Elephas maximus indicus: one gene and its partner. The protein of the gene in region 1 purifies or fractionates together with the protein of each later gene. This does not show direct contact. Links are inferred from orthologs where the notes say so. Each region holds a gene or a part of one and is shown in the gene's direction. Other genes may lie near its edges.

Region 1 (11,103 bases):
TAGGGTGTCTCTTAGTATTACCATGTCCTGTGATTAAAGTCAATGGAAAACTACAGCAACCCAATTCTGATACGATTACTAATGGCCCAGACCCTTTAGGAATGAAGGTTTGGGTCACCCCACCAGGCAAAGAACCACAACCAGCTGAGGTGCTTATTGAGGGCAAAGGGAATATGCAACGGGTGGTGGAAGGAGGTAGTTCTAAATACCAGTTATGTCCATGTGTCCAATTGCAGAAACGAGGACTGTAATTGTTAAGAGTATTTCTGCTTTGCATGTGTGTATCCAATATTTTTGTTTTCTTCACATATAAAATATAAGATGTAAGTGGGGCTAGTGCATTTTCGGTTGTATGCATGTTAGTTCTATCATGTTAGGTGCAAGTATGACTTTGTAATTGTTTTTATTCAGAGATTATGTATGGTTTGGGGAGATGTGTACAGGTCTCAAGTTGACAAGGGGTGGACTGTGATGGTTAACATTGTGTGTCAACTTGGCTGGGCCATAATTCTCGGGTTTATATGTGATCACTCCCATGATGGGATCTGCTGTCAGTAGCCAATCAGTTGAAAGGGAGTTTCCTTGGACGTGTGGCCTGCATCTGAGGATAAGTGGATGTTCTGGCTTTTCCCTGCTCTAGATCCTGCAGCTGGCTCCTGTTCATCCGACAGCCTCTTCTTGGGATTGAGCTAGCAGTTTACCTGCCAAACTTGGGAGTCATTGATCTTCACAGCCTGTGAGCAAGAGCCCTGCTCTCCAACCTGCTGATCTTGGGTTTATCAGCCCCTGCAGCTATGTGAATTGGGAGAATCCTTGCAGTCTCACCTGCCAATCTTGGGATTCATCAGTCTTCACAGTCTGTGAGCAAGAGCTCTGCTCTCCAACCTACCAATCTTGGGTTCACCAGCCCCTGCGGCTACGTGAATCAGGAGAAATTTCTATCCTGATCCACTGACTTGGAACGTTCCAGATTCTACAACCACATGAGCTGCTTCCTTGACATAAATCTCTTTCTGTTGTTGTTGTTGTTGTTGTTAGGTGCCGTTGGGTCAGTTCCGACTTATAGTGACCCTATGCACAACAGAACGAAACACTGCCCGGTCCTGCACCATCCTTACAATCGTTGTTATGCTTCAGCTCATCGTTGCAGCCACTGTGTCAGCCCACCTCCTTGAGGGTCTTCCTCTTTTCCACTGACCCTGTACTTTGCCAAGCATGATGTCCTTCTCCAGAGACTGATCCCTCCTGACAACATATCCAAGGTATGTAAGACGCAGTCTCGCCAACCTTGCTTCTAAGGAGCATTCTGGTTGTACTTCTTCTAAGACAGATTTGTTCATTCTTTTGGCAGTCAATGGTATATTCAATATTCTTCGCCAATACCACAATTCAAAGGCGTCAATTCTTCTTCGGTCTTCCTTATTCATTGTCCAGCTTTCACATGTATATGATGTTTTTGAAAATACCATGGCTTGGGGCAGGTGCACCTTAGTCTTCAAGGTGACATCTTTGCTCTTCAATGCTTTAAAGAGGTCCTTTGCAGCAGATTTACCCAATGCGATCTCTTTCTATATATATATATATGTATATATATATATATATAATATATATATATATTTATACCTTTACTGGTTTTGCTTCTCTAGAGAACCCAGCCTAAGGCAAATAGCCATTTTATAAATTCACTTATGAAACGCCACACATTTAAAGGGTGCCTCCATTTTATAGATTAAAAGACCGAGACTTAAAAAAAAATTAAGTAACCTATTCTTGCTCACGAAACAAGACTAAAATTGAAGAGCCATGATATGATTTAATCCCATGCAGATGGAGTCCATTGGTAGTGGAAACATTTAATTTGCTCAGCTGCTAGCTGAATAGCTGGAGGTTTGAGTCCACACAGAAGCGCCTCAAAAGAAAGGTCTGGAGATCTATTTCTTAAAAATCAGCCACTGAAAATCCTATGGAGCACAGTTTTACTCTGACACACATGTGGTTAACATAATTTGGAATCAACTCAATTGGCAACGGGTATGGAAGGCCCAGCACCGAACTCAATCTCCACATTGGCAGCGCTGGGGCAGCATAACATAGCTATGAAGAAGAGTTCCTTTGGAGCCAGACACCTTGGGTTTAAACCCTGGTTCTTTCACTTTAGTTACCTAGGCTCTTTGTGCTTGAGTTTTATCATCTGTAAAATAGGAACCATTTATTCACAAATATTTCTTGGTCCCCAGTCATTCTACCTCAGAGTCGTCCTCCAATCTGCTGCATTGCCTTTGTTTAATTTGACATGTTTGATGCTGCTCATCACCAAGGGCTTAGACCTCTCAAAAATGAAGGCTTAAATCACCCTACTAGGCAAGGAACCACAGCCAGCCAGATTGTAACCAAGGAAACCCGGCATAGGTAGTCATGTATACCAGCTATAGCCTCAGGAACCAGAATAGGAAAAAGTGGTCTGCACATTTTGCTGGAATGCCTGAAGACTGAAAAATTAGCCTTACCTTTCCCTTTTAAGGAACCCTGGTGGCATGGTGGTTAAGAGCTCAGCTGCTAACCAAGTTGTCAGCAGTTTGAATCCACTAGCCACATCTTGGAAACCCTGTGGGGCAGTTCTATTCTGTCCCATACGGTTGCTATGAGTCAGAATTAACTCGATGGCAACGAGGTTTTGTTTGTTTCCCTTTTAAAATGAGAACAATCACTGCTGTCCCCACTCCCAGTGAAATTATTTGTAGAGTGTGATGATAGTAATCATAATTTAGTCCATGGATTGAGGACCAGGAGGAGCCACACCTAAATGAGACTATGCCAGAACTAGAAGAGGAATGGATACTTGATATCCAGAGGTCAGGACTAGGAGAAAAGTAACATTAAGACATTCTTTCCACCAGTTGGATGCATCTTTAGGCTGGGTAAGGGTGCAGATGCAGAACTGTTGTACTGGGATGGCAGGGTCATGTTGGTTGGAGGCATTTTTATCATTGTACATAGGGGGAAAAGGGTATGTGGCTTCAGCAACCTAAGAATAGAACACAAGAAACACCTCTTAGGCCAGCTGCACAGTTCACAGTGACAACTCCCTTCCCATCAAAGGGATGGAACAACAGCAAACATCCACACACATAGTTTGCAGCCTGGTCATGCTGAATAACACAGGAGTGGAAATATGATCCAGGTTGGCCAAACACTTACTGCACTAGGAAACTGGAATTTTGATCAAAGAGGCAGAGAGATGGAAAGTTGTTTACATCCCATCAGGAAGACAGTTTATGGATTCCTACTACCGAGTTCTACAGAATTTCCCTGGTTGTTCAGTAATTTCTAAGTTTCTGTGAGATACCCCAGTATCCAGTAAAGTCAATTTAACTAGCAACCAAAATAATCTTAACTATTATACTTACCAGAATAGCTTTCTCTCATGCTACTTCTTCGTATGCTCCTTACCCTACATCCTCTACCAAAATATTGCGGCTCACCAAGAATACCACGATGTTCTGTCTCACTGAGCTTTTGCTGCTCTGCTGTATGAAATTCCCTCCTCCTTCTACTGACACCTCGAAATCTGTTTTTGCATCTGTCAGAACACCTAGTATGTAGGGCTGTATCAGAATTAAATGAAACAATGCCTATGAAAACTTCCCGTACAGTGTATCATTCATAACAGGCACTGATTTGTTTTGTTAGCTTTTTTTTTTAGCTGATTTACTTTTCCAGCATCATATCCCACTACACTAATTCATAAACCCCCCAAAAAGAGCCACTCTAGGCTACTTGATTTTCCCAAGCCATACAATGCACTTTGTGTTTCTTCTTTATTAAAATTCTACTTAGTCTTCATGACTCAGAGAAATGTTGGGCCCTCCATAAAGCCCTGTGTATATCACAATTGGTGTGTCAATCACTCCTTCCTCTGTACACACCATCTTCTGTCTTTATCACAGCATTTTATTTCCATCTGGTTTATATTCTGCCTCTCCCACCAGATTGTGGGCTCCTTGAAAACAAGAAGAGTGGTTTATTCAGATTTATTTCTCCCACATCATACTTAGGACAGTAGACTCTCAGTTGTTGAGTGAATGCAGGAATCAGATGCTGCTTGTCTTCTCTTTCCTCTGCCTACCCGACATCACTTCCTTAAATGCCTCAAACCCAGACATGTGCAAAAGTAAGCACATCTTCTTTAAACTGCTCCCTTTCAGTTTTGCTGTTTTTGTCAGTAACGCTATTCTAATCCCTTCTGCCTTATGTCTTTGGCGTTCTCCTTTCTCTCTCACTCCTGCAAGGAGGGTAGTCTTCTCACTGTTCCCAGAATAATTTGTCTTCACAACTTTGTGTTGTTACTTTGAATACAAATACTTTCTTCCTTTCTCTCCATCTTTCAAAAGCCTGTATTTCAAGCCTCTTTCTTCCCAACTGTTCCAATGGATCCCTGAGAGACTATGAAGGAAGCCCTCTTGATGACCCTTGATGAACCCAGAGCACGAGCAAGAAATAAAGCTTTTGAGGTGTGGGAGTTATTTATTCTTGCAACATAATCTAGCCTATCCTGGCTACTACACTGACCTTGGGTAAGTTATTTAGCCTTTCCAAACTTCAATTTCTTTATCTGTAAAATGGGGATTAAAACAGTATCTAACAAACATGGTTACTGTGAGGATCAAATGAGATAATACAGGTAAAAGCATTTAGCACAGTGCCGAGCATAAAAGAAGTAGAGGATAGATTTTAAGAAATTTGAATTGTTACCAAGTGGCAATTTGTATGTTAGCAACAGAAATGTCAAGCTTCAAATTATGAATGTTATGTATTATTGTTAGTAATTTTAGCTGAAGACCTGGGTATCTATAAATTAACATATTTTAAGATAATTACTATAGCAGTTAAGCCTAAATAATCATAAAAAAATAACTCACAGTACTATTGTTTTCTGTCATATCATGAATTTTTGGATACCATGAAAAAATGTCTGATATATGTACTTTAAGATTCATAAAGCTTATTAAGATGTTATCCTTGTTCCCAAAAGCCTATTTATAATACCAAAAAAACCAAATCCGTTGCCTTCCAGTGGATTCTGACTCATAGCAACCCTATAGGACAGAATAGAACTGCCCCATAGCATTTCCAAAGAGCAGCTGGTGGATTTGAACTGCTTACCTTTTGGTTAACAGCCCAGCTCTTAACCACTGTGCCTCCAGGGCTCCTATTTATAATAGGGCTATATTATACTATAAATAAATATTTAAATATGGAATCCAGGTTAGCATATTCATTACATATCACACTGCTATTTGTATTTAATTAAATTTTCTCTCTGAACTAACAGTAAACTGACTGACAAAACCACTTCATGAAGATGTTACACCTGAGCCAACAGTTCCACATTCCTATTTTGAAGAAAAATTTAAAATATTGTTTTATTAAGTAATTTTTTTGTCTGGACTAAACTTACTAGCACTGAAAATCAAGCGTCCACACTTTAGAAATCAAAGATCCCGGCACATGTCTTGGAGAAAATGTTGAATGAGAAAACACAGTGTAATAAACTGAAAAACACCTCCAGATGCCACACACCTAGGATGTGCTTTTAGACCAAAATAAAACCTTTTTAAAAAAACATTTTAAACAAGTCAGTTGCCTTCCAATGTATCTGATGAACTAAAGTGCCAAAACTGATTTAAATGGTATCTTTATTTTTTAGAAATCTCTACACCCAATAATTTATAATGTAGCCTCTTCTTCCAAACGACAGTATGACACAATTTTTTAAATAATGCAATTTTTGTGAAGAATTTGACACCAGTTTCTATTACGGGTCACCTTGGAGGGGCAAAAATCAGAGTTGTGTTAAGATGCTCTACAGTACTTTTTTTTTTCATCTCCAAAAGCAAACGTGCAATCCGACGTGAAAAATGGCTACGTTAAAATCTCGTAATGTGGCTCATTGTACGCTAGGCGTTTCCACTACGATGGATCTGACTTCTAGTTTCTCGCTTAGCCTCCAGTAGTGACTGGGCAAGTTATTTCTGAGTATCTCCTTTCCCATAAAAAACGAGAAAATGGGTGGAGGACCATAGTGAGCTGTGATCCAAATAACGTCCATTAGAAATCTTCAAAAGCTTTCTTTCCGGACGATGCAGACACCAGGCATACGGGGTTCTGCCTTCCCCACATCCTCAGCCCCGAGTCCAAGCTCGGGTAGTCTCCTCTTTCAAGACCAATTTGGTCTCCTTAAGGAAAAGCAGAGAGTTCTTTTTAAGGAAATCCGGGGCTCCTTTGTCCCCCAAAACGGCTGGGGGAGGGTTTCGAGGCCTCCGCTGGTGGTGGGAGAGTAGAGACGAAGGAACTGAACTCTTCTCTCACATCCACCCGCCCTACCCACCGTCTGCGGTCCCAGCCCTGGAGCAAGCGCGCTCCCAGGGTTCCCCGGTACCGTGAGGCGCGCGCTTGCTCGGCGACGGCCCCAGTGAAGGCGCGGGATGCTGGGCCGCACGCCGGACCCGGGACAGGCGGAAGCTACTGAGAGACCCCGTGCTTCCCGCCGGGGCGGGTGGGGGAAGGGTGGCAGCCACACCCGGAAGTCGGTCTGGTAGGGTGGGGGAAACTGGTTAGAGCCGAGGCTTCCGGTGGCGCAAAGGGTGTCGGGAGCTGCTCCCGGCAAACCTTCTTCTCAGGCTTCTGGAGGGGCCGCGGTTGGAGCCGCTGCGGCTTCTACGATCTGCGTTCGGGATAAACGGCCACGGGGCTGCCACTGCGGCTTTCCCTGTGCTTTACCCTGTTTGTATTCGTTCCCAGGCGGCCCCCGCAATTCCAGCAGCGGCCGAGGCCGACATGTTGTGAGGCGGTGGCACGGGTATCTGAAGGATGGTTTGGCCGAGGCGGCGGCAACGGCTCCTGGCGGGGGTGGCGGCGGCTCAGGCTCTGTAGAGCCGAGCTCGCTGGGTGTACGTCCGGTGCCTCGGGGAGGCCAGTGCCCCTGGATTTTGCCTCTGCTCCGGCGTCGTTGGGGTCCGGTTAGGCGACAGCTCCTGCCCCGCTGAGGAGACACGAAGGTGGTTGCCCAGCACCTCAAATTTCCGGATCACGCCAAGCTTACCCTTCCTCGGCCCGGCAGTGCTGTCCCCAGAACACTCAGCCCTTCGACTTTCCTACCAGCCTCGCCCTAAATCTCACACACTCGGGTGTTCCCCGCCTGGCCGAGCCAGCTCCTCCCCCCTTATTTTCTGCACCCTCTTCTCAGAGCGCCCCTCAGGGTCACTCTCCGAAGGGGGCCTTTTCAGAAATCTCCGTGGAGTAGTGGACCAGAACTGGGGAGTTTTTAAAAGTCGGGTGCGAGAGATAGGAATGTACGATGGCTTCCTCATCTGGCAACGATGATGATCTCACTATACCCAGAGCTGCTATCAATAAGATGATCAAAGAGACTCTTCCCAATGTCCGGGTGGCCAACGATGCCCGGGAGCTGGTGGTGAACTGCTGCACTGAATTCATTCACCTTATATCTTCTGAAGCCAATGAGATTTGCAACAAATCGGAAAAGAAGACCATCTCACCAGAGCATGTCATACAAGGTAAGTGGTACGTGTGGCGTTTGGATTAAAAGAGGGGCCGGGGGACAGTCTGCTAGTCGCGTGACCCGTTTGTGTCAAAACCTTCATTCCTCTTCCTTGGTAAGTACTGTTGAGTGAAGAAGCCACACGGGCAAGGAGGCAGCTTTTTCCTTAGGAAAATCCCGTTGTGTGTTCTTGTGGTACTTGGCATCCGGCCGATGCAACTAAGGATTGCAAGCATTTAGGTCACCTCACAGCCCCAAAAGATCAGTTCTTGGTAATGGTCTCGATTTACAGCCGAAGCAACAAGAATTGCCTGCCCTAAGTTGAACCCAGATAATGACATTTGAGAAAGGAAGCCAGAAGTTCTCCCTTGGAAAGTTAAAATTCAGACAGAGGAACTTCAAGCAGGAGTGGAAACAGCACCCGTTCTCCCGCTCCACCTATTCAGTAATGTAGAGGAAAGGGTCAATATTCTGAACACATGAATAAAAAAATTCTTAACAAGAATGTATTCAGCTTGGGAAAGGTTATTGGTGTTTAGTAAAGGCCACTTCTTTTTATTTTTCGTTTAAAATAGTTTGATGGTTGTTCATCAAGTTTCCAAGAGTTTCAGTTCTATTATGTAAGGAAAGAGTGAATGTTCCTGCTTTGTTGTGTGGAAATAAATTTGAATGCAACTAAAAGCTTGGATTGGAAGATTGTGAGCAGTTTTTTTCATGAAACATTTCCCTGTACTTTCCTGCTGTCATTCCCATTTAGATGTATACATTTCGTCTTTTACTGAATAGCACTTTTGGAAAATTTAAGTTTTTTTCCCCTCTCGTTTTGGAAAGCATTTAGTCCAGTAATAGGGATTTGGGGGACCATATTCTGATGGTTTCAGGGATGAGAGGCGTATTTACTAGTCATCATGCTTTGGGAAACACTTTTTGTGATTTTCACATGTACTGTTACCCAGAAAGTTGCATTCAAATTGAGGTGAAAACTTGCCTTAAAATCTTAACAGTCTCTTGATTGCTTTTGAAGTCAGGAAAAGAAAAGTTTTAAGTGGTTAATTTAATCATTTTGGTAAGCAGATGGTTGTCTGGCATTTCAGTTTTATAATTTAACTTTTTCAAAGGTGACTTCCTGTTCTACTGAAGCAGAGAACACATCTGCTCATATTCACCGTATCCAGTATTTTACTGTCAATATTGACAAAGGAACTAAAAGATTCATTTTTGATCCTTAACTGACCTGCTGAATGTAGATTTAAAGCATACTCTGCTATTTCAATACATAGGGATTCTTAAAGCTAGTATTTTAATTTTTTTTCTGCCTTTTTGGTGTGCTGAATGTTCTAGCAAGTAAAATGAAAGGCAAGGTGTCTATTTTTGTCTGTTTTTAATTTTACATTGTATGTGTGATTGCTATCATGTAGTCTTTCACAAGAGAATCCCACACAGATAGCTATAATTTCCTTTTACAACTCATTGAAGAGAAAAAAGGACCTTTTATCAACATTGCCTTTCTAATGAAAATTGCAGAAGATTTCAGTAGGATATGCTAAAACATTTGTTTACACCAGAGAAGTGGGGATCGTTCCCAAAATCTAATAACACATTACAACTGTCTTCTTGGGGAGAGTTTATTCTATTCTAGGATATATTTAGATTTCTGATTGACATGATGGAATAAAAGTGCAGCTGTAGCAAGCAGTGTGCTAAATAGTTCAACTTTGGAATATGCTAAATTCTGTGTAATGTATGAATCAGAAAGTTACAGTGAAAGCATTTTTCCTTGTGTACTGAGGGTCATTTATTAATTTTAAAGTATCATGTATTGACTGTTACAGTCTATAAATTTACCTTTTTTTTTTTTAAACTTGTATCATTGCTATTGTTGAGTGGATAAAGGCCCACATTTTTGCCCAAGAATTCTCCCTGGTTTGAGGAGTAGCTTTTAAACGTTTATAATTTCATTTGAACCTCATTTTGCCTAACTATTTTAAAGAATTTTTGTTTTGAGTGGTTAAAAATTTTTTAAGGAAATGTTTAGGGTGTGTATAGTTTAGGTGCTTAAGGTATAGTTTTACAGACTAACTTTGGAAAATTAGGTTGGGAAATCATGTAGATGGGACATTTTTTACACTTTTGTGTCAGCGCTGGTTTTTTAGGACTGTAGGATATATATATATAAAGTGCTATCGAGTCGATTCCGACTCATGGCAACCCTATGCAATGCGTAAGTAAAATAATAATGTAATTTTTAAAATGATATGATTCTAACATGTTGAAGCTTGAATTTTTAGTAATAAGTTTAATGAGCTAGACTTTGCATCAGTACATTTCACATGTTCACATGTCACCTTGTTGTACCTTGTCAAAGCAAATTAAGCATTCTGAGGCAATTCCGTAAAATGGAAGATAAAGTCAAAGCATGTTACTGCCAGTTTATCTATGAAATACTATAACTTAGTTCCCCCCCCCCCCAAATAGTTTACTTATTTTGAGTTTTAAGAAAGAAGATTTCAGATCCATGGACAGAGTTCTAAGTTTTAAAAAGTATTCCTTTTATCTCTTTGCTGTTTTCTGTGAACATTTATTTGTGAATGAGTTCTAACATGTCTCTTGCATTATGGGACAAAGTGACATGGAGAATCCTGGAGAATCCAGAGTTGCAAGCTGTACACTGGAAATTCTTTGGCCTTAGGCAAATCTGTTAGCTAAGGTTTTCCACTTCTGTGTAAATAATATTTAATGGTTTCAGGTGCACCTTGAAATTATTGAGAACCAGTTGGGTTAGAACCTTAAGTGAAATGTGCCACGATAAATTACAATTTTAAAAACTTGTAGTGGTACTGATAAGAATATAAAGCTGAAAGCCTGTTACATTACATTTAATCTTTACATCATGGTGCCATTTGTAAAACCAAAGTGAAAATGAGAATATTTTAGGTGGTATTATTTTCTTCCTGCATTTTTTAATCTCTTTCTACTTTTTTTTTTTTCACATTTATGAGAACAGTAACTGAAAGTAGTGAAAGCTTGAAAAGGTCTCTGAGAGTTGGCTTCCTCAGCAGTTAAGTTGCTCCAAGCTATCTATGATGGACTTTTTTTTTTTTTTTTAACCTGTAGTCCTTTGCACACTGATACTTTTGTAAAATACAATAAAAATGGATCTCTAGAAAAATGAAATGAAAAAAAAGACATAAAAGTTAAAATTTTTATTAGATCCAATGGACATAAATTACTCTGCTAAGTTGCTGTGAAAGTTTTTTTTTTTTTTTTTTAATATTTTATTGTGTTTTAGGTGAAAGTTTACAGAGCAAATTAGTTTCCCATTCAACAACTTATATCAGTGTGTTCCATGACATTGGTTTGCAGTCCCCACACTGTGTCAGCACTCTCCCCATTTCCGCCGTTGGTTCCCTATTTCCTCTTGTCTGGTTTTCCTACCCCTGCCTTTTCACCTTTACTTTTGGGCAAATGTTGCCCTTTTGGTCTCGGATAATTGTTTGTTCTACGGAGCATGTTCTTTTCAGGCGTTATTGTTTATTTTATAG
Region 2 (10,062 bases), on another chromosome or scaffold:
CACCAATAGCACAATTGACAGAATAAATAAATAAATAAATAAATAAATAGGTAAATTGAACTTCATCAAAATTAAAAACTTTTGTGCTTCAAATGATACCATCAACAAAGTTAAAAGGCAACCCATGGAGTGGGAGAAAATATTTTCAAATCATATATCAGATAAGGGATTTGCATCTAGACTATATAAAGAACTCTTACAGCTAACAATTAAAAGACAAATAACCCAATTTAAAAATGTGTCCGAATAGACGTTTTTCCAAGGAAGTTATACAAATGGCCAAGAAGCACATGAAAAGAAGTTCAACATCATTAGTCATCAGGGAAATAAATGCAAATCTAAATCATAATGAAATATCACTTCATACTCACTGAAAACAAAACAAAACGAAAACCAAATCCGTAGCCTTCCAGTGGATTCTGACTCATGGCAACGCCACGCGTAACGGAACATAATCACTCTGTGTGGTTTTCTTGGCTGTAATCTTTACGGAAGCTGATCAGCAAGACTTTCTTCTGCACGGCCAATGGGTGGGTTTTGAAGCCATCAACTAATAGGTTCTTGTCAAGCAGACTAGCGAATTGAAGTCAGCCAGACACAGGGTTGGAAGAACAGAAAGGTTTATTCACAGTTTGCAAACTGGGAGACAGGCAGGGTCTCATGACCTAAGGATGCCAGCACTCTGGACCAGGGCAGATTTGCTCCTTTATAGGGAGTGACTTACATATGCATGAACAGTGAGGGGACGATCTTCAGTCCTTTGAGGTGTGCAGCCCCCATAATTTTAGGGAATGGGTTTTTGCCCACTGCTCTAAAAATACTGGGCAGAGCCCTGAAAAAATGGCATCGGCTTGCTCCTGCCACCCCCGGGAAGGTCATGTAGTGGGTAGATTCGGAGTCTGTGCTCCTGTGCTTTGGCCTCCTGCCAGGAGAAGACAAGAAACCTGTGGATTTGACCGATCATGGCGAAGTGCTGTAAAAGTTGTAACAAAAACATAGCAAGATTAGACTTTTCTGAAAAACTATGATGGGATGCTTAATAACCTTTTCATGACTGCCTGCTTTAGTTTGAAGGGTCAACCTTTAGATTAATGTTGTTGTTGCTAGGTGCCATTGAGTGGGTTCCAACTCATAGTGACCCTACATACAATAGAAGGAAACACTACGCAGTCCTGAGCCATTCTCACAATCAGGGCTATGCTTAAGCCCACTGTTGCAACCACTGTATCAATCCATCTCATTGAGGGTCTTCCTCTTCTTTGCTAACCCTGTGCTTTACTAAGCATGATGTCCTTCTCCAGGGATTGATCCCTCCTGATAACAGGTCCAAAGTGTGGGCGTCCTTGCTTCTAAGGAGCATTCTGGTCCTGCTTCTTGCAAGACAGATTTATTTAGCTTAATAGTTGAGTGCAAACCATTTGTGCCACTCAGCAACATTTAAATTCATACAATGGAATAGTATTCAGCTATAAAAACAGCTGAAATCCTGATTCATGCTACAACACGGATGAACCCTGAAAACATGGTAAGTGAAAAAAAAAAAAAAAAACTAGTCACAGAGGACCACGTACTGTGACTCCATTCATATGAAATGTCCAGAAGAGACAAATTTATAGAGACAGAAATTAGATTCATGGCTGCCAGGGACTGGAGGGAGGACAGGCTGAGAGTTTTCTTTTTGGGGTGGCGAAAATATTCTAAAATTGATTGTGATGATGGTTGTACAATTTAGTGAACATACTAAAGCTCACTGATGTGTACAATTTAATAGGGTGGACTTTATGGGATGTTAATTACATTTCAATAAAGCTGTCGTATTTGAAAAAAATTTGGAAAAAAATCTGAAATTAACATGTTGCCAATAAGGCTCAAGTTCTGGATCCCCTCTTGTTTTACCTTCCTTGCTCTGCTCTCCCCCATATCATGAAACTACGCTGAAGAGTTTGCCATGCATCCTTCTAGATCTTTCTCTTGCTTTTACATTTTTATTTGCATTGATTGAACATTCACAGAATTGCATTTATATGTCAATGTGAGTTTGTTTTTAACATAAATAGTATTACACTGTACCAGGGTTCATTCAACAGTGTTTCTTGGAGAGCTGTTATTGAATTGATACAATATAAAGGCTACTCTATTATAACAGCTGCATAATATTCTGTAATATAAATATACCACAAGTAACCTTTAGTGGTCAGCCCGCCCCCTATAATTCTCACTCCCTGTGCCTTTGTTTTTTTCTTTTTTGTGGCATCCTTACCTCAGTGAGTTGCAAATGTTTTTAAAATGAAACATCGTCTTTTATTTTCTTGGTATCTACAGGGTAACAGAGTGCTGTGCACACAGGAAAGCTTAAAGCTTACTAAATGCTCTTAATAGCCTGATTGTTGTTAGGTGCCGTGGAGTCAGTTCCGACTCATAGCGACCCTATTAGCCTGATTAGGAAGAGGCAATAAGGCTCTTGCATCCTTTGCCTTTGAAATTTCCCTGCCTGGTGCTCATAACACATTTTGAATATGCCTTAAAATGGTGGGCCTTCAGCCTAAGGCAGTGTGTCATCTGGATGCTCTGAGCAGGAAAATAATGAAAAATCATATTCAGTTGATGTCACAAGCCATTCACCATTCAGACAGTGATGGTTTTCAGAGTGGTTTGAAATGAGGCTGGTTACTTCTGCTTCAAAACATTCTGGGAATAGCCTGCTTCCTGAATTCTGGGAGTAGCTTAGGAGTAGTTGTGAGAGGTAAGTTAATATTAAAGGTAGATTTTTCTCCCAACATTTTATTATAAAGATTTTCAAACGTACAGATTAGTTGGAAGAATTATCCAGTGAACACCCACCACCTAGATTCTACCATTAACATTTTGCCCTACTTGCTTTATCACACATCTGTTCATCCACTCCTGTGCCCATTGATGGATGCATCAATTCATCTTATTTTCTGATGCATTTCAAAATAAGTTGTAGATGTCGGTACACTGCACCCCTAAACTTTCAGCATGCATATCATTAACTGGAGTTCAGTATTTGTTTATGATTCAGAAAATTTTTTTGAAATTCACTTTACATCAAATTAAGTGCACAGATCTCAAGTAGACCATTCCAGGAGTTTGACAGTGTCTACAATGTAACCCAAACCAACCAAAAAAAATCACACCTATTGCCATTGGTTCCAACTTATAGTGACCCTAGAAGACAGAGTAGAGCTGCCCCACAGGGTTTCCAAGGGGCGACTGACGGATTCAAACTGCCCACCTTTTGGTTAGCAAGCCAAGCTCTTAAACCGCTGTACCACCAGGGCTCTAACCCAAATCACTACGTGATATTGCTCGAGGATTTTTAAGAGATTTGCTAACATTCTGATGCTCGAAAAGTCTGATTAGAGGATCACGACTTTTAAGACTCCCATCCTGCTTTGGCAAGAATGACCAAAAAAAAAAAGAAAAGAAAAGAAAAAAAAATTGCAAAACACTTCAGCAGAGCCAAGTGAAGCACCTTAAGCCAAGAAAGGAAGCACTGAACTAACTGTCCTGATGGAAACTGATGAGTCTTTCAGACCTTCAGAGTGGACTCAAATTAGGAGTGGAAATTTCCTTTTGCCCTTTCTAACATCACTGTTTCAACGTACAAAGTTATTTTTTTTTTCAATTTTTACATACCCCTCTGCATGAAAAGCCAAAAGAACAAAGAAAATCTGGGAAAAAGGATAGAAAAAAATTCAAGGGGGGACAGAGGGAGGGGGAGGAAGGAGGGGAAGGAATATGTTTGTTTCCCGGGGACAAACACGGTGGCTTAAGGCGTGTCTGGCCTCCTGTGGGGGTGGGTGGGAGCTAGAAGGCATCCGAAGAATCCGATAAGCATATTATGACCCATTTTACATATGATAACACTCGCCCTGCAAAATTAGGGCACTTCTGAAGGATACTGAGAAACAGCAGTGGGCCTTTAAAAAGTCTTCGAAAGGCCGACCTGGCACGAATTTCAAATGCAAAACTGAAATGTGGAGTGAACATTCCAAAACACCACCCTCCAGGCCAGCAACAGCATGAGTTGAAAACTCACAGTTCAGCTAAAAAAAAAAAGTTTGAGGCCAAAATCTACACTTCTCCTTTGGACGCTGCTTAAACAATTTTTTTTTTCCGGTTCATATGCATGCTGGTGGCATCAAAGTTAAAAACTAAGGAAAATTATAAAAAAGAAAATGGCAATGATGATGAACCCTAACATTTTTCCAACTTTTCCGGCTTAGCACAGTTTTATTTTGACAGTGCTTTTAGGCAATCGTTCTTCTAACTATCAGCACTTTCAAAAAAAAAAAAAAAAAAACCTACCGAACGTATTGATTAACAGTCTATAACAGTCTATTCCCTCTTGTGGCAGATTTGGTCCAGAAGTTGCTATAGGAAGAAAGCGTTTTAATTAAAAAAAAAAAAAAGTTTGACAGAAATGTATTTTAAAAGAAAACACCAAGTCTTTTATTTTGGTGAATTAGCAACAAAGAAAGGATTAGCATGGACGGGTACTTTTCAAAAATATTTTTTTTCCTCGGGCTCCCGCTAGGGTGGAGGAAGTTGTCTCGCTCCGAGGGAGGGTGGGACGGAGTGGCAGGACAAACGACTGGAGTCCCCCGCCCCTGCCCCAGGCTCGGGAGCGCGAGGGTCGGCGGAGGGGCCGCCGGGCAAGGCGGGGGGAGGCGGCCAGCAGGTGCCTGGGCTCCAGCCCCCTACCCCCACCCTCCACTCCACCCTCACCCCCCAGCCCGAGCTTGGCCTCGCCCCCTGCCGGGTGAGCGCTAGGTGCCGAGGCCTGGGGGCAGGGGGCGCAGACCCCGCGGGGAGCGGAAAGAGGCCCAGGGCGCCCCGACCCCAGCACCCCCGTCGGTGGCCGCGAGGACATGTCCGCGGCCCCCGAGCGGAGCCCAGCCCCGGGGAGCGAAGCCGGGCCAGGGCGTGTGTAGCGGCGGCGGCAGTGGCGGCGGCGGCAGCCGGGCCGCGAGTCCCCTCCCTCCTGGGGCGCAGCTGCCGCCGCCGCCACCATCAGCGCGCGGGCCGCGGCCGGAGCGAGCGGGGCGCGCGGCGCGCGGGGGAGGGCGGGGGCGGGGAGGGGGGTGGGCGAAGGGGCGGGAGGGCGTGGGGGGAGGGTCTCGCGCTCCCGGCGACCAGACCCGAGAGGGAGACCCTGGCGGCGGCGGCGGCGCCTGACACTCGGCGCCTCTTGCCGTGCTCCGGGCCGGCATGTCCGAAGCTGGCGGGGCCGGGCCGGGCGGCGGCGGGGCAGGAGCCGGGGCGGGGGCCGGGCCCGGGGCGCTACCCCCGCAGCCCCCCGCGCCGCCGCCCGCGCCCCCGCAGGGCTCCCCGTGCGCCGCCGCCGGGGGCTCGGGCGCCTGCGGACCGGCGACGGCAGTGGCGGCGGCGGGCACGGCCGAAGGACCGGGAGGCGGCGGCTCGGCCCGGATCGCCGTGAAGAAGGCGCAGCTGCGCTCCGCTCCGCGGGCCAAGAAACTGGAGAAACTCGGAGTGTACTCCGCTTGCAAGGTACCGGCTCGCCGCTCCCAGCCCGCGGGTGGGGGCGAGGGGCCCAGCTCCGGGGGACCCCTGCCCCCTCTCCCTCCGCCCCCGCCCCGCCCCGCCTCCCGCCTCCCGCCTCCCGCCTGGGGCCTCTGCACCGCGGAAGTGCTGCTGCCGCCCGCGCCCAGTTAGCTCCTTCTTGGATAAGAGTCCTGTTGGGTTGGGAGAAGGGGGATCCCCAAGATCGAAAGCCCTTTCTTCATTTCTCCCTCTCGGACCGAGTAACCTTAGCTTCCGAGCTCCCGGGCTGCCCTGGGGCTTTGTCGCTGTGTAGGAGCTCGCCAGAGGCGCCTACCGGAGAGTGCAATGGTGCTCACGGTGTGGCGGGGCGCCCCAGGGCCAGGGAAGCATCTTGGGGACTGAGCAACCCCCTGTGAGCCTGGCCTTGCCCCTTGCCCCATTGGGAGGGGATGGGTGCAAGGAGTGAGGGTGGAAAAGGCTCCCGAACTCCAGGCACCTGGGGAGCGAAGGGACGGAACGCGCGGGATGGGAAGGTGGGCACAGCCCAAGGAGAGGGTCCTGGAGCGCCTGGGGGGGGGGAGGCTCTGCGGCACGCGGTGACAGCACTGTCATTATTGTATTATTACTTGTTTAGTTAAAATGCTGTCCCAGCTGCTCGGGGTGTAAACAGGATTTGGCGAGGTGACAGCCCAGCGCAGCGGGCGCTGCTGCTCAGTTTGAGGACACACGTTTCAAGCCATCCCCTTCTCCGTCCCAGCTTTCGGCGCCCCATGGCCCCCCAGCTGTAGACCCAGATGTAGGGGCTGCACTCCTGGGGAGGGACGATTGCCCGAGGCCGCGGGGCAAGCTGGCCCTGCGCTGTCAGCAGCGGCTTTGTTTTGACAGGGTGACAGCTGAGGGGGGCGGGGACTTGGCCTTGTCAGCTCCTGCGGCCTGTGGCTGAGGCGGGGAAGACACACTCACAGGCACTCACCACCTCCCGTGTATTCCTCCCGCCTGCTGCAAACAGGGTCAAGTTTCCAGGGTTCCAGATTGCCACTACCGCGCTACAATGGTCACTTCTGAATTTTGGTGTAACGGTTATTCATCCAGCTAGAATATCTTGACCCTCCTGGTGATGCTTTTTTAGTATTTACACGAAATGTCTGTGTTTGCTCTCATCCCAGCCATTACCATCCTCATATATATATTGAGCACCTACTGTGTACCCTACACTGATTCAATAAATATTTGCTGAGTGAATGTAGGAACCAGTACAGTGCTTCCCAGACTTTAATGTGCATGGTAATCACCAGTATTAAAATGCTGATTCTGAATTACTAGGTCTGAGGTGGGGCCTGAGACTCTGCATTTGTAACAAATTTCCAGGCGATGCAATGCTGGTTCAATTCCAAGGTAGCAAGATCTAGTTCAGACCTGGATAATATGGTATTAGTCCCTTTTGAATTCAGCCAAGAAAACTGGAACTGTAGAGTGATAATGTCATGTGGTTGGTATTTCTGAAGAAGGAATGCAAAAAAAGATAAAAAAAAAAAAAAAACGAAAGGCAAAGCTAGGAGTTTGGTTATGAAGGGCATTAGACAGGATAGTGAGAACAGGACCTTGAGTGTAGTTGGCAGATGAGAGAGCTATACGCAAAATCAAGAACAAGTTCAATTATGCAGTGGGGTTGGAGTTTTGCAGGTGGGGTTGGTTCAGGTAGTTCAGGTAGCGACTGCGTCAGCTGGGTGTTTCTGTCCTGGTGTTTTATTGGGTTCCCATCGTAAACACGTTTTCTCTCTGCTCCCTGGCTGTTGCCTTAATATCTGATGACTTCCTAAAGTTTTGGTTCTGTGTAAAACCAGGAACCTATGTGCCCTGCACTGGTATTTTTGATCCTTCCAAATTTCCATGAGTGAGATGTAGTACCTTTTCTAAAGTTTGTGACTTGAGCTTCATGTTTCCATTTACTACCAAACTTACAGGAAGGAAAAAACCTCTCATATCTCCTTTAGAGACTTACCTTCCTGCTCTTGGGAGACTCTGCAAGCATCAAATTTTATTTACTTATTCATTCAGTAAATAATATAGAGGGGTCCCATATGGGTGCCAAGTACTGTGCTGGGGCTGAGACACCCAGAATCTATCATGGTGTTGCTGGACAGCGTGCAGATGAGTGTGCATCTCTTGTCTTCAGGACTTGGGGAGTTGGAGAGTGAAGCAGTTACAATAAAGTTTGGAAAAACTACTTTCTCAGAGTGGTGTGGGAACCAGAGCAGGGCAGTTCACTGGGTACCAGGGGAAGGGTGGGGATGGCTTCCTGGAGGAAGTGTCAGTGGGTGCTATAAGAACTCTTGCTATAGCGCAGAGAGGTGGGGTGAAACTTCTTGAGAAGGAGAAACTGAAAGCTGTGCTGAAAGCTTGGAGCCAGGCCAGCAGGAGCCAGGCCTCCACTGGCCAGGTGATCAGGTTGGGGGGTGTGGCCAGGAGGGCACTGGGGCATCTGGGAATCTTAACCTGGAGAGTGACATTATCAGATTTTCTTTTTGTTTTAAAGGGGCTTGGTTGAGTGTGAGGTGGTGCCAGAGAGCAGAATCCATGTTTTTTTCTGTTTGTCTCTATATTTCATGTAAAAAGCCCCGAAGGACAGATGGTTCTATCTTTTGCTACTGGCCCCTTCAGCCAGTTGGAGAGAGTAGCGATGTTAGGGAATAAGGAGGAATCTGGAAAGAGATGAGGTAGTTTACTGGGAGCTATTAAAAATGCATGCGCAAAAAAGGAAAGAAAACAAAAGTAAAAAAACCAGGTCCTAGACCTGAGAAAAGAGAAGGGGAGTTGGCCTTTAAACTTCATGAATGAAACAGAAAAAGAAGGGGCTAGTTAACAGTCAGGGTAGTGTGCCACACCCCGGGAAGAAGAAAATAAGAAAAAAAAACAAACTTGTTTTGCAGGATTCAGGCTAGAGTTCTTTGAACTGTGTCCTGGCGAAGGTTGCCTCATAGAGCCACCTTGCTGACATCTGCCGAATGATCATTAAAAATGTAGATCTGACCGTATTAAGTCTCCACTTAACCAAAACCCAAACCAGTTGCCATGGAGTTAATTCCGACTCATGGCAACACCATGCAATGCAAAATAGAGCTGTGCTCCGGAAGGTTTTCAAGGCTGTGACCTTTTGGAAGCAAATTGCCAGTCCTTTCTTCCAAGGCACCTCTGGATGGGTTGGAACCTCCAACTTTTCAGTTAGAAGTCTCTACTTAAAACCAAACCTATTGCTGTCAAGTTGATTCCAACTCATAGCAACTTTTTAATTTCTCTTTACTGGGACCCACAGTGTCTCACATGGCTTGGCCACAGCTTCCTCTGGCTCTCTTTTAGGGCCTTGAGTACATGGTTCTCTTCTACCTCGGGGCCTTTGCACATGCTGCCAACTGGAACTGAAAGTTCTTCCTCTTACCACTCGCTTCTGAATTAGCTCACAGTTCCTCTTGCAAACCTCAGAGTCCTTGTCTTTCCTTTACTCCCCAGGCCAGCCTTCCCCATTATAAGTTCTCGAAACTCCTCTGTACTTTTCCTTTCTGGTGCTTTTTTCACGTTATTTGATATGTATTTGACTAAGAGTCTAAGTGATGTGGTTGTTGACTGAATGAATGAACTAGAGAAGAGAAAGCTGAGGAAGTAATTAGCTGTTAGGATAGCAGTTGTGAAGTTTTAACTTGGCCACTTTTTGACAACTGGGCAGAGGAGGTTTTTCATGTAGGGCATTTCCGGGTGACTCACAGTTGTTGATGGGACTAGGTATTTAATGCTGTAAAAGAAACCCCAAGTGAGTGTACGAGTAGCCCAAATCCACCCAGTCTTCCATGAATTAAAGTGTAATTTATCTAACTTAAAAAATAAAACCCAAACCACTGACTGACCCTTCCTAATGAAATAAACCATTTGTACATAAGGGGAGTCAATAGGATGTAATGGCCGAGAAGATGGACATTGGAGTTAAGACTAACCCAAGTTCAGATTTCAGAATATCCAGCTCTGACAAGGACTTCGCCTCTGAGCCTCCATTTTCTTTTCTGTAAAATGGGACTGATAATACGTACCTCGTGGTGTAATGGAGTCCCTCGGTGGCACAAATAGTGCGGTGTTTGACCGCTAACCAAAAGGTTGGGAGTTCAAACCCACCCAGATGCACTTTGGAAGAAAAGACTGGTGATGTGCTTTTGAAAGTTCACAGCCTTGAACACCTTATGGAGTGCAGTTTTACTCTATATACCTAGGGTTGCCATGAGTTGGAATCGACTCAACGGCAATGGATTTGATTTTAGTTTTCATGGCAGAGCAATGAGGATTTAAAGTGAGCTAACGTGTGTGAGGTACCAGCATGGTGTCTGGCCCATGGTCAGCACCCATGGCTGTTCAGGGAAGGGGGATAAACCATTAACTGGGAAGTCAGGAAAGAACATGGCACTTAGACTCGAATCCCAGATCTGCAACTCGTGAAATCTTGGGTTCGAGTCATTCATTTTCTCTCTGAGCCTTGACTACTTCATGTGT

The links.
Region 2: the proteins of DR1 (region 1) and KAT2B purify together in Homo sapiens (affinity purification with mass spectrometry; 3 studies listed by BioGRID and IntAct, with this or other methods). This does not show direct contact. The link is inferred for Elephas maximus indicus from reciprocal best matches to the Homo sapiens genes DR1 and KAT2B.

Annotation. Positions count from the first base shown.
Region 1 is NC_064821.1:148,820,767-148,831,869, reverse strand, and holds the start of DR1 (protein Dr1), read left to right. Parts: upstream 1-6,631; 5' UTR 6,632-7,357; coding exon 7,358-7,577; intron 7,578-11,103. UniProt on the Homo sapiens protein: The association of the DR1/DRAP1 heterodimer with TBP results in a functional repression of both activated and basal transcription of class II genes.
Region 2 is NC_064845.1:19,717,408-19,727,469, reverse strand, and holds the start of KAT2B (histone acetyltransferase KAT2B), read left to right. Parts: upstream 1-5,147; 5' UTR 5,148-5,235; coding exon 5,236-5,535; intron 5,536-10,062. Other genes in the region: uncharacterized protein LOC126068496, read right to left, coding at 4,508-5,038. UniProt on the Homo sapiens protein: Functions as a histone acetyltransferase (HAT) to promote transcriptional activation. Has significant histone acetyltransferase activity with core histones (H3 and H4), and also with nucleosome core particles.